3 linked regions of the Drosophila melanogaster genome follow. The protein of the gene in region 2 interacts with the protein of the main gene of each other region in a pairwise test. Each region holds a gene or a part of one and is shown on either strand. Other genes may lie near its edges.

Region 1 (3,677 bases), 7.1 Mb from region 2:
TGATTTTGATTCCTGAGCTTGTAATTTTCTATGATAAATTCAAAAACTAATGAAATAAAACGCATTGAATGAATTTTATAAATTTTTTGCAATCCGATCTAACTATGCCCGATATACAATCAAAATATGCATTACCTAATTAAACAATTAACTTACTAGCGTTAAAAGTTAGTTAGTTATATATCTAAAAAATAAATTGATAATGAAATAAAGCGGTATGAACTTATCACATCCTTTTATCAAATGAAGCAAAGTGAAACGATTCAAAAAAACTTTATAATCCATTACAATTTTATAAATGAACAAGAATATTAATTAAACATAAAATAATTAAAATATTTCAGGTTTTCTATCTTTTTTGTAAGATATTTTAAATTCCCTTAGGACTATGAATCCGAAGACTTTTCATATGATAAGCCGTAAATATACACATACACCGGCAACTTGAAGAGCAAGATTTCCTCAAATACACATTTTCAACAGTCCCAATAAAAAATATCCCAAAATCACTTTCTGATTATATAAGAAATATTTAATGTACAACTAATATATGGAAAATGTTCCCGTTTTTCAAAAACTTAATACATATATTCAATACGCATTTTTAAATTAAATAGTGGTTACACGATTTGATTTACATTGTGCAAATAAAGTGATCTGCGTCAATGCTGGAATAAATGTGTCCCTCGGAAATCATAAAGTCCAGAATGTTGCTGTAAAAATAGGAACAATAAAATGTTATAATTAATATTAATTAATAAAGAATATCAAATGATGCAATAGTTTTGGATAAACAACTTACGTCAACTCAGAGTCGCTGATGTGGGAGAATTTGGCTTTCAGTTCCTTGCGGGAGATGCCCTCCTCGGAAACATTGCTCTTGATGGCCTGGAATACGGCCTGCTGCTTGGGCTCCAGCCCACTGACAATGGCCGAGCTCTGGGAGGCGGTGAAATCAGCTATGGAGCCTGAGCCGGAAGAAGCCCCTGCACCAGCTCCAGCTCCACCCTTGCTCTGGTAGTCCTCGGCCCTGTAGCGGGCATTGAGTACTTCCAGCAGGTGGGTGCACACCTCGTTGGGATCCAAAACGGGCAGTAGCTTGAAGATCATTAGGGTTTTGGAACCGCCTTGCGACCGGGTGGTGCCGTAGACCTTCACGTAGTTGTTGACCATTACTTCGGGTGCCTTGAGAGCGTCGCCCTCCTCAAGCCAGTAGTGCGCATCGATCCTGCCGCTATGATCCTCCAGGGTGTAGGTGATCTTCGTCGAGGAAGTCTCCACGTTCCGCACTATGGCCACAACACATGCCATGGCGTACTGCATGCCGAACAACTCGATGTTTCCCTCTGGGGCGTCCACAATCTGCTTCACCACCAGGGGCACTATTCCCTAGTTGCAATCATACGGAATCATGTTAGGTTGTGCAACTTTACTGGCGTCTCACTCACTTACTTCTCCCTTTTGATTGCTGGCGGCTCCAGTTGGCGCAGTTTGTGTGGCATTGAAATCTCCAACTAAAACGAGCTTCGTTATTAGTTCCCTTAATTTCTCTGAGCTACGGGCTATACTTACATGAATCATTCATTTTCTTGGCTTTTGAGGGATTTGTAATTGAGTATTCTATATAATTTCACAAGGGCCGCTGGTAAACAATAAAACGCGCGAACGTAGAGCTGATAGTGTGGCCGTAGGTCGAACACGTAGGAATAACATCTATTTAGTATATAAGAAATACGAAATATTGTAGTGTCAATATTTCAATATTTTTCCTGAAAAACTGAATTATTGTAATAAATTGGGAATATACCTTTTTCAGTTAAAACAAAAAAAGAAAAACCACAAAATTTTTTATTTTTTACAGGACTTACAGCCCCCTTAATAATTCATTTATTTTCTTATGGGTAACACAATATTTTTCTTAGCACTAATAATTTCAGAAACACTTAGAAACCTAAAACCTTTTTCAGCGTTCGCTGAACCTCTTTCCTATCGGTCTTTCTTCCTTTTTTCTTTAGTTTCAGCATGGGCTGAAGGACAAATGTCCTTGTTCAGGCACTCCCCACAATTTGGCTTCACTGGGGTGCAAATGGTTTGTCCGAATCCCACGAACAAATGATTGACCTCTGACCAGAGGCTGAATGGCAGCCACTTCTCCAACGCCACACGGGTTTGCTCGGGCTCCTTGGTGGGCTTCGGCACCCAGCCCAGCCTGTTAGAAAGGCGGTGGACGTGGACGTCCACTCCGATTCCGGTTATCTTGTTCCAGGCCACTGCCATGCATATATGGGCCATCTTGGGGCCAACTCCTGGAAGAGCTACAAGGTCCTTGACATTATCTGGAATGTCCGAACCATACTTGTCCGTCAGTATCTCCACGGTTTGCTTGAGGTATTTAGCTTTGTTCTGGAAGAGATCGAGAGTAAGTGCGATATATTTATTTATTATTAATTCCACCAAACCTTGTAGAAGGATACGGGATGCAGTAAATTCTCGAGTTCAGTCACTGGCATTTCCTTTACTTTCAGTGGAGTTAGACCTCGGTCTTTAAGGCGATTCATGGCTTCATAAGTAGTTTGGTCTTTGGTTTGACTGGACAGCATCAATGCCACTAAGTTTTGGAAGCGCTGGGTCTGCAAGGAAGTTGTTTGCTTGTAACATATTCTTCTATGTACTTAATTCCACTTATTGGAAATACCTTCGAGTCTGCTTTTAAATCGGCGCATCGGTGGCATCCCATGGTGTCCACTGGCGCAGTTCTGGAGTTTCTCATAATGCGAATGTTTTCTAGGTGGTTAAACCACAAAGGATGTGGTGCTTGCACCTCAGAAAAAGAAGGGGAATCCTCCGGAGCTTCCTGTTTTATTTGGGGTTCCACCTCCTCTCTTATCTTATCCACTCTCACTGGGGAGTCCACAGCATCAGGGACCACCTTGCATATGACCACAGTAGCCGAACCCATTTGAACTCTGGTTACCATGCGATCATCCTTTCTAAACTTTTTGGGTGCCACTCGAGCTGGAGACAAGGGCTCCATTTTAATGTTAGTTTTCTTCACGGCTTCCCCATTTAAGAGACGCTGCTTGCGGGTTTGCACGGGGGAGAAGAACACTGAGCTACTCGATCCTGCTGCGCCAGCAGATACACCAACCAGATCCTCTATATCCTGGAAGATTTAGAAACTGCGTCTTGAGTATCAATTTCATTGTTTATCATGCATTTCCGCCTACCCTCACGTTATCCGCCCTATTTGGACGACTTTTTATTTCCGTGGGTTTTATAAGATCTCCGCGTTTTGCCAACTTGTTGGCCAACGTTAATTTCTTTACATTTTTGGCCATAGCTAATACAATTTCTGCGCTTCAGTTTCAGTTTCCATGTTTGTTTACATTTCGAACCTATCGATTTCGATGTAGGAGAAACGGCCACACTTTACAACTAAGTAGCCGGGAACATTTGAAATTTCGAAATATTCAACTCATGCAAGTTAGGATTTTAAGAACCATTTTTCGTATGCTACAGCATAATAAGTTATAAGCTATTACAATACATTTTAAGCCACAAATTTAATTTTAATGCACTTGATTTAAAAAAAAGTACAAACTTTTCGATTTCGTTATCAACAGCTCATAAAATTTAACAAAGATATTTAAAATAAATTTTATACCCGATATTCGTAT
Region 2 (4,826 bases):
AGAAATATTTAAGCAGCCATTGTTGCTGAATTTTGTCTAAAATATCAAGGCCTTGGCCTAATTGGATTACAAATCTCGCTGAGGAAGCATCAAATTCTATAAGATACATAAATAAAAATCTCATTCGTAAATAATCAGCAACACATTATTTTTCTTGAGTGCCTTTTAAATATGTAACTAAACTTTGATTCGCTAAAAGTTCAATGACATCTTAGCAGTTAAATGTGGTTTAAGACTCGAACTGATTTCGGTGAGTCAGCAGCTTACAATATTAAGGGGGCACTTTAAACGCAAGAGCTCTTAACCAAAAAAAAAAAAAAAACGGGCATTAAGTTCTGAGATTATATCGATTCTTTAGATTATTGTCCATAAACGTTTTTATTTGTTAAGTAGTAAGCTATGTATAGTAAGCTGCTGTATGATTATTTATGCTATATAGCTTCTAAATCGATTTCAAATGAAAAGGTTAACGAACAGATAGCACAGAATTTCTTTTATTTATTTTCGTTAGATACTTTTGACCTTCTCGATTTATTGGAGACCGTTACCGAAACCTATAAATAAGCATTTGGAACGGGAAAACGGCAACCAGAGTCCAACGAAAGCATCGTTCATCACGCTGACAGCGAATTAGAATCGGTATTCGATATAGTTATATATGTATATATTTGTACATATTGGACCAATGTGCCCGTGTTGCGGGTCAATGCCAATAAGAAAGTCGCGTGCGAAACGGTTTACGAGATCGTACGCTCTCGTATTCTCGGGTTTCGTACATATCTGGTTTGCACGACACAGAGTGGAGTATTCGAGTATTCATGAGGTTGCTGCCGCTGCCGCTGCCTCTGACAATTTTGTTTACATTTTTGGTGAGCCTTTCGTTGTTGCTGCCTCTGCCAGAGATTTTCTAATAAACCATTTCAGGAACCGGTTTTCGGTTTGATTTCGTGAACGGTTTTCAGTTTTCAGTATTCAGTTTTGCTGCCTGCCACAAAGAGGAAGAGGGCATCAAATTTCAGTCCCCGCATACAAACACACACACACACACACACACATGCTGAAAATTGGGCAGAAAAGCTTGTTTTAAACAAAAAACGAAGCTCTTTCTTTTCCATGAACAGAGCGACAACACTTTCAATGGGCCCGCTGCGATCCGCTTGAATGGGCATTTTGGCAACAATAATCCTCGCCATCAACCGGGGGTTGATGTTGCCTCATAGATTTTCGGTCTAAGATTAGCATAAAGCACTCCAAACAAAGGCAACCACAAGTCCAGACGCTCGCGATAAGGGGCACAATGAAGGTGTGGATACAATTGCAGCGATAAACATGTTTAATCAAAGGATTCGCATCTCTTCCCGCCGACTTGACACACTCAATGGGACGACCAGTCAGTCCATCGAAAGTCACGATAGACTCCACTTTCCGACTTTGAAACCCTTTTCTTTACTGTGTCTTTGCATAATTTATAGCACATTTAGTTGCTCATCATTTCTGGGGCACACCTCCGAATGCTCCATTAAAACCAGTGACCCTTGAGCAAAAGTTTCGAATTCACAAGCAGAGCATTTCCTTGTTATGGTGCATAAATTTGCAAGCCATTAAAAAACAAACGAAATATATAATAAGAGTACTGTTATATTTGGAATCTAGCACTTACACATTTTACGTTTAAAAGCCTATTTTCTAGCAAAACATTTGTGCAGCTGCTTTCAAGCACTTAAGCGTTGAAATATATTCATTAAAATACTTTCAGGTTAAGTCGGGTTTGGTCGTACATCTTATAAACATTATATGCTATACTAATCACATTTATTTATTTATTACAAAGAGTGTAACGACCCAAATTGGATAGACTTAGTATTAACAGGTGGAAATGAGAATCTATAACTCGAAACCTAAGCTAAACATCATAAACTTTTCAGCAATATCTAATTGGACAATTAGGCCACTTGATCTCCTTATTGCCATTTAATAGGAAGTTAAGCCTGCAATATTTACAGTATAAACAGGTGGACAAACATAAACTTTGATTGCAAAACTAATTACAGAAACCGCTTTACCATTCAATGGCTAAACTCTAGTGTAACTAATTATAATCATTAAACTAGGTGCACTAATAGAGGGGGACTTACCTTCAATGCAGACCACATGGTCCCGAATGGACTGGGCTATCTGGGCATCGGCCATGGGCAGCAGATCGATCAGTTCGTATATGGCATAGATGGATGGGTGGACGCTCTCGAATCGCTGGATCTCCTGCCGGATGGCCAGCGAGTTGCTGATGAGCGGCTGGGGAGGATGGGCCACCAGGATAGATGCTGATGCCGATGCCGATGCTGATGATGATGGCGCTCCGGAGGCGGAGGCTGCTGCAGTGGGCGCGGCATGGTTATGGCGTTGCGGGGGCGGCAACTGGTTCTGGTGGGGATTCTGCAGCTGATTATGGACCTGCTGCGGATGCGGATGCGAGAGCGCGTGCGGATGCGAATGCGGATGGTAGTTACTCATGGCGGGGGCGGTGGAATCGAGAGTTAGCTAAGTTTTTAATTAACTTAATTTACTGGCACATACACTCGTCACGCACACACGGCACACACACAGGCACGAACACTACAAAATTGCGATGGCACAGTTTTCCCAAACGAACAACATTTTCCAATAACAACAATCGGGGCAATAAATGCGCTAACTCGACCGATTTTGGAGTCGCAGTTTTCAGTTCACTAGATCGATTTTGCACCTGCACAAACAATCAAAACACTTTTGTTTACGCTATTACAGTACACAATCAAATGGCATTTTTCTAACAGTTATATTTGATACACTTTATATTTAGTTATTTTGCACTTTTCTCCGTTTTTCCCGATGCGTGCGCTTTATTTGACAGCGAAAAGGCGAAAATTTACTACGAAACCAACAGAAAAGTGCGAGAATTTACGTCGAGCGCAGCCGAGTATGTAAAAGTATGTAGTTGGTGCGAGGCGTTCCACAACAAACTGTGGATGAAGAGCAGGTACAGTGGTCACTCTACAGAGCGAACTTCCACCAACTCAAGTGGGTGATTAATTTTTAACTAACAAGATTTTGTACTATTAATTTACAAGTAATGGTTAGATAGTGTACAGTGATTTCATTACACCAGACACACATGTAATCACGGGATTAATTCGGAATATTACACTTATGGAGTAAGCACTGTACTATGAAGTGCACGAGAAATACCAAAAACGCCAACCAGAAAAATCACCGTAATAGACATAAATACTATATTTGTTTGGACTGGTATCGATAGTAACATAATGTAGTTAATTTATTTCAATTAAGTGCCATATATATGAATAGATTTTAAGTCAATATCTTTGTAACTACAATTCAACCAATTTAAAAAAATAAATATTTCACTTGCCGTCTAAATGCCAATTGGAGCGCTCTAGGCTCTTATAAGCCATAAGTCCGTTAAGCTCACAGCGGCAACTCTGATGGTATCGATAGGCACCGGCTGCTTACCGATAAGTTCATGCACTGCATGTCGTAATCGTAATTTGTTAAAAAACACATTTAATTAATTAAAACTTTACCAAAATGGCACAAAGTAGGCTTGAAAAGATTGGCACAATCTTCACCAGGTATTTACCCTCCTACGAAATATCTGTGCAAGCTTTAAACACCCGACTCTTGCAGAGTTCAGGGCCTCCTACGCGGTGGAGCTATGAAAACCGAGGATAAACCCATTTGGTACGATGTGTACGCCGCCTTTCCGCCGAAACTGGAGCCCCGATTCGACAGACCCGCGCCTGAGATTCCAGTGCGCCAGATATTTTATGCCGAGGATGTTGTCCGAGCGTATGTTTTTCACCTGCAGTCGGGCTTATACCAATACTGAACTAATCTTGTACACCAACAGAAAGCTGCATAAAGAAAACAAACCCCAGGAAACGATATCCCTGTTTGACCACAGGCGCAGCACGCAGTCACAGCAATTTGTCCAAATATACCAGGACCTGAAAGGACAAGGAGCCCTGGATGAGCAAAGGATCTACGAGACCGCACTGGATCTTTTGGCGGAGCAGCGCCAGCAGGCCCGCCTGGAGACTACCCCAGAGGAATGCCTGCCAGAGCAGGATTCGGAATCCAAGTCCCAGCTGCTGAGCGACTTCAAGGAGGCTGTGGTGAGCCAGCAAATCACGTCGTCACCAGCACCACCTGCTCCCAAGGGAAAAAAGGAAGCGAACGTGGGCATTAACATAGACAGCTTGTTCAAGGATTAGGCGGAACATCTTTTATAAACTTAAAATAAACTTGTTATATGTAAATCAAACGGCCAATGCATCGTTTTGGGACTCGTGGCTGAGTTGCGTCTGCAGGTTTGACAGCTTGTTCTTCAGCACCTGCACACCCATGACCACAATGTTCTCAGGCTTAAGGGCACCGGCGGATTCGACGTTGAAGAAGAACTTGTTTGGCTTGGCTTCCCAGTTGTAGGGCGCCTCGTACTGGTCGTCCTCCAGTTCGGTGTGCTCGCTCTTTGGCCACTCATCAGGTTTGGGATACAGAGTGTGTCGCATGGAGTTGTCCGGATCATACTCGAAGCACACGCCTGCGGTAGGATTCCACTTGGCGTGCTCCTTGCCAAATCCCTTCTTGGCGTAGGCGCGCAGCTTCAGCTCCTGCCCCTTGCGCAGCTTAATTATGAGGATCTCATCGTTGCTCTCGCCGTACTCGTTGTCCTCCTCACCCTGGTTGCGGGACGTCACCGGCAGGACCTTGGCATTGCTCGACTTGAGATCGGCGGTGGTCACGTGGCGCGTCTGTTCCTCGCTGCA
Region 3 (3,860 bases), 5.6 Mb from region 2:
GTTTTTCCACTGTACCGACTGTCCTACCACTGGATAAATCCCATTGGTGTGGCCACAGTCATTGTGGTAGGTGCACTAGTCTCCCTTGTGACCAAACCCACAAATATGAAAACACTAGATCCGGATCTAATATCACCAGTGATTCACAGGTAATTTTTGTAACCACATGTTTAACCTCTGTTATTAAACCCATTTTTTCTTCTAGATTCCTTCCAAAAGAATGCTTTAGTGGTCGCAATCTCCATGCGCAGGCGCACAAAAACCTCTTAAACGTATCCTAAAATAGACGAACCAGAACTTCCTGTGCCAAACTAATGGAATTGATGGCATTGAATTCCACACCCTGTTTTGTTAGCATAGTTTGTAGTTGTAGTTGCTTTGTGGTAGTTACCTTATAGATAGCCTAGTCTAGTACAATGTGATCCAGATATTGGAAGACATAAACCGAAGTACAGGAACCTATGAATCTGCATCTCAGAATACAGAGTGCACAATCATTAACGTTATATAGTAAATGTATTATAATATAGCTTTATTTAATTGTTCTGTTTGTATCCGTTCTTTACTTTCCAGCCTTTGTTCAAGCATTATTTTTTTGGCATTTTCGATTTGTAGTCAGCAGACTGTGTCTCATTATGTATTCCGTTTGACTTTACAAGCATAATGTCTGTGATAAATTCAATAAATAGATCATACATACTATCCGAATTTTGTACACCTAGAATATAGTTAAGCGGTTGCAAAGCAGCAGGAATGATATGACCTCTGTCTGGATCTGGATCTGGGATCTGAGTCTGGAATCTGGCGTATCTAGTCTAAACTAAGCCCCAATCAGGCGTAAATCACAAAAGAGGATATGCCTTGTATAGGCATGCTTATACATACTAATTAACCTTCCGATGATCTACAGCCGACGACTGTCTTCTGCTTTGGATGCACTTTCGTAGCTGGAACCCGATGACAATTAGGCAAAGAATGCCAGCACTCAGATAGCTATTGAAGACAAACTGCTGTGGCAGCATTTTGCACTTGGAAACCACATAGTCATCGGGGGTTATAGTGGCCTAAAAGTTATGGCATGTTAGTACAAGTTCGAAGGGCTAACAATCGTAAGAGCAAATATAATACTCACCAGCATAAAGCTGGGATTAACTTTGTTTCGCCAGCTGAATGAGGCCACCGTGTACTCATCGATGCCCAGTCGATTTACACTGTGACAGAAGTGATGTGAATGACCGGCGAATGCCAGCCTTGGCTTAAGCAGCTCTCCCAGCATATCCGTGGCATCCTTGGAGAGCACATGAAACCGCTCTCGGAACGCCTCGATGTACGGAGCATCGTGCTCCTCGCACATGGTATCCGAAATGCGGTAGGTGGGAAAGTGCTGCAATAGAATTGGCTGGCTGTACGGGTGCCGCCTGGTGCGAGCGCACTCCGCCTCTAGTGGATACTTCATGCAGTACAAAGTCCTCGAAATGTTTTTCAACTGATCCTCGGCCTGGGTGCAAAACATGCAACCATCACCTTCCATAGCCATCGAATTTATCACCACAAAATGGATTTGTTTAATGGTGTACAAATTGACCGAGGAGTTGTTCAGATAACTCTCAAAACGCGACATAAAGAAGGGATGCATTCTGGAAAACACACAAGAGCGCGGTTTAACAAATATCAGGGAATACACATAGTCTCTTATTGACTTACTTGTAATGGAAGCCCACGTCATGATTTCCCGCGACACTGATGAGCGGAATTCCCGGTGGTAGGTGGAACATCTTCAGGTAGCGCCACACATATTCCTGGAACTGCTTGTCGCTGACCATGTCGCCCTCGTCGAACAAATCGCCCAAGACGAAGACCACGTCGGGCTGGAACAGACGTGATGCCGCCTGAAAGGCCCGCGTCATGTGCCACTCCCGGTAGAGCTTGTCCAGCCAGTGACCACGATGCGGTCCCAGCAGATGCGGATCCGCTAGAATCATTGCCCTAAGCGGATCGTCCACATACTTCTTTCGCTTTATCTCCGGCCACTTGCACTTTTGCAGCACCACAAAGTCCGCCACATATTCGCAGAAGATCAGGGCGCACAGCACGATCACAAAGCAGGCATAAAGAAAGCGCATTTCAGGATTTCTCACCGGCTAAAAAAATAATAACAAATTTATTCTAGAGCTGAAAAACCATCAGCGATAGTATCGTTTTAAACGAGTAAACGGCCCGATATAAATTTAAAATATTCGATAAATTAAACAGTGCTGTCAAGCGGCTGTCGGTTGACTAACAAATTGGCGCCTCATTTCAAAGTTGGTTACTAAAATTGTAAATTGGAAAAATTATGAAGCATTATGGCTTATATATAATTTCCTTTATTTGGAATAGGTATTGTGCATTGCATGCTGCTTACAGGCTAACTAGAAGAGATCGTAAAAATAGTTTAGGCCTTGGCCAAGTTCCCAGATTGAAATGCCAGTGCCCAGTTCCTGGGCGAGCTTTATTCGCTCGTTTATGGAATAGAGAGTGGGATAAAAGACAATGTGGCGACCGTCATCGTTTCTGAAAGTAATGATATTCATCATCTTCGCCTTACACTCTGCATACGCTGCAGTAGAAAACTCACTTGATTTCAAAGAAATTTTCCACATCCCGCTCATCGTAAGTTAGGTGCTTCTTCACATGCCTGACTAGATCCAAGTACTGGGAGAAGGTGATGGGTCCACCTCCATCGGGCGTGTAATCATTCCCGTACATATTCAGTCCCAACAGAATTTTAGCCCTCTTAGCCGTCATATCAGCGCAACCTTCTGGAGCTATTGTCTCCACAGCCTTACGGACGAAATATAATGGTGCATTTGCTCCGGGACGCTGCACGCTGGAGAAGTCGTAAGTCATCAGAGAGAAGGCGTATATGTGCTTGAACAGCTTGTCCATGTGCTTTTCTCCAAAAAGGTGGCCTGTTTCCTTGCGGAATGGAGGAATGACCAAAATGAGTCGCAGCTGTTGCTTTTGTAGTTCTTTGGCTAAGTGACGTAAAAGAAATTTAAATTATTAATAACAAACAAAGGGTTACAACGCATTAAGCTCACCCATTTGCAAAACCAGTGTGTACAGAATTTTGTCATCTATGCGTCCAGCTAGCTGGGACCACACCTCCAGGACGAGTCCATCGAAGCCATTATCCTTGCAGCACTTGATCAGCACGTCGTTGACTTTCGTCCTCTCCTGGGCGTCGCTAAGCAAGAGCTTAATGTCCCGATCAGTGAAGTGATCGAATATAAAACGGGGAAACACTGAAATCCAAGGAAAGTGAGTTTAGACTAACGCCAGCGGGTATCATTTTCTCATACCTTTAACCGTTCGCTGATTGTGCACCTGTTTACCCTTTCTCCGGACATCGGTTAGCCAACCCGCATCGATGTCATGGGTTCCGGCTACGGCATAACGATCTCCCTGCTTAACAATCTGCAGCCAAACCGGCGAGATAATGTCGAACTTCTTGGCAAATATCTTAGCCACATCATAGCCATGCGAGTTCCACTACAAGCAAAGCAAACAATAGATTAATACACATGCACAAAATGTGGGAGTACGTCCTCTGCTTACTGGAGTCACATAGCCCAAGGTGGTGCCATTGAAGCGTCGCAATCCCGTCTCCTTGAAGTACCCGCGATGATTGCTCACGATATCCTTGGCCAGGGGCTCGGGACTAACCAAGCCCAGATCGAAAACATCTTGGTCTTGCGGACCGCCACGCAGAGCACTCTCCTTGGTCTTGCTCTTCGATTTGTGGCTGTCCGGGGCGAGGGTTCCGCGGACGGTGGTCAGCAGTAGAAGCAGGAGAGCGACGCGGAGCAGGAGCGCAT

Evidence for each region. The genes of interacting proteins can lie anywhere in the genome.
Region 1: the proteins of CenG1A (region 2) and RPA2 interact in a two-hybrid assay, tested with the Drosophila melanogaster proteins (one large-scale study listed by BioGRID).
Region 3: the proteins of CenG1A (region 2) and PGAP5 interact in a two-hybrid assay, tested with the Drosophila melanogaster proteins (one large-scale study listed by BioGRID).

Annotation. Positions count from the first base shown.
Region 1 is NT_033779.5:20,924,462-20,928,138, forward strand, and holds RPA2 (replication protein A2), read right to left. Parts: upstream 1,687-3,677; 5' UTR 1,586-1,686; coding exon 1,573-1,585; intron 1,515-1,572; coding exon 1,453-1,514; intron 1,390-1,452; coding exon 803-1,389; intron 714-802; coding exon 635-713; 3' UTR 514-634; downstream 1-513. Other genes in the region: Nthl1 (Nth-like DNA glycosylase 1), read right to left, coding at 1,987-2,403, 2,460-2,630, 2,696-3,163, 3,228-3,338.
Region 2 is NT_033779.5:13,833,742-13,838,567, reverse strand, and holds the start of CenG1A (centaurin gamma 1A), read right to left. Parts: upstream 3,005-4,826; 5' UTR 2,512-3,004; coding exon 2,136-2,511; intron 1-2,135. Other genes in the region: mRpS23 (mitochondrial ribosomal protein S23), read left to right, coding at 3,586-3,629, 3,685-3,846, 3,908-4,271; Polr2C (RNA polymerase II subunit C), read right to left, coding at 4,317-4,826.
Region 3 is NT_033779.5:8,197,306-8,201,165, reverse strand, and holds PGAP5 (Post-GPI attachment to proteins 5), read right to left. Parts: upstream 2,214-3,860; 5' UTR 2,124-2,213; coding exon 1,705-2,123; intron 1,638-1,704; coding exon 1,133-1,637; intron 1,065-1,132; coding exon 886-1,064; coding exon of another isoform or gene 885-885; exon of another isoform or gene 821-884; coding exon 811-820; 3' UTR 514-810; downstream 1-513. Other genes in the region: SLC5A11 (Sodium/solute co-transporter-like 5A11), read left to right, coding at 1-149, 206-281; CG8460 (uncharacterized protein), read right to left, coding at 2,412-2,553, 2,618-3,017, 3,084-3,287, 3,345-3,534, 3,601-3,860. UniProt on the Drosophila melanogaster protein: Metallophosphoesterase.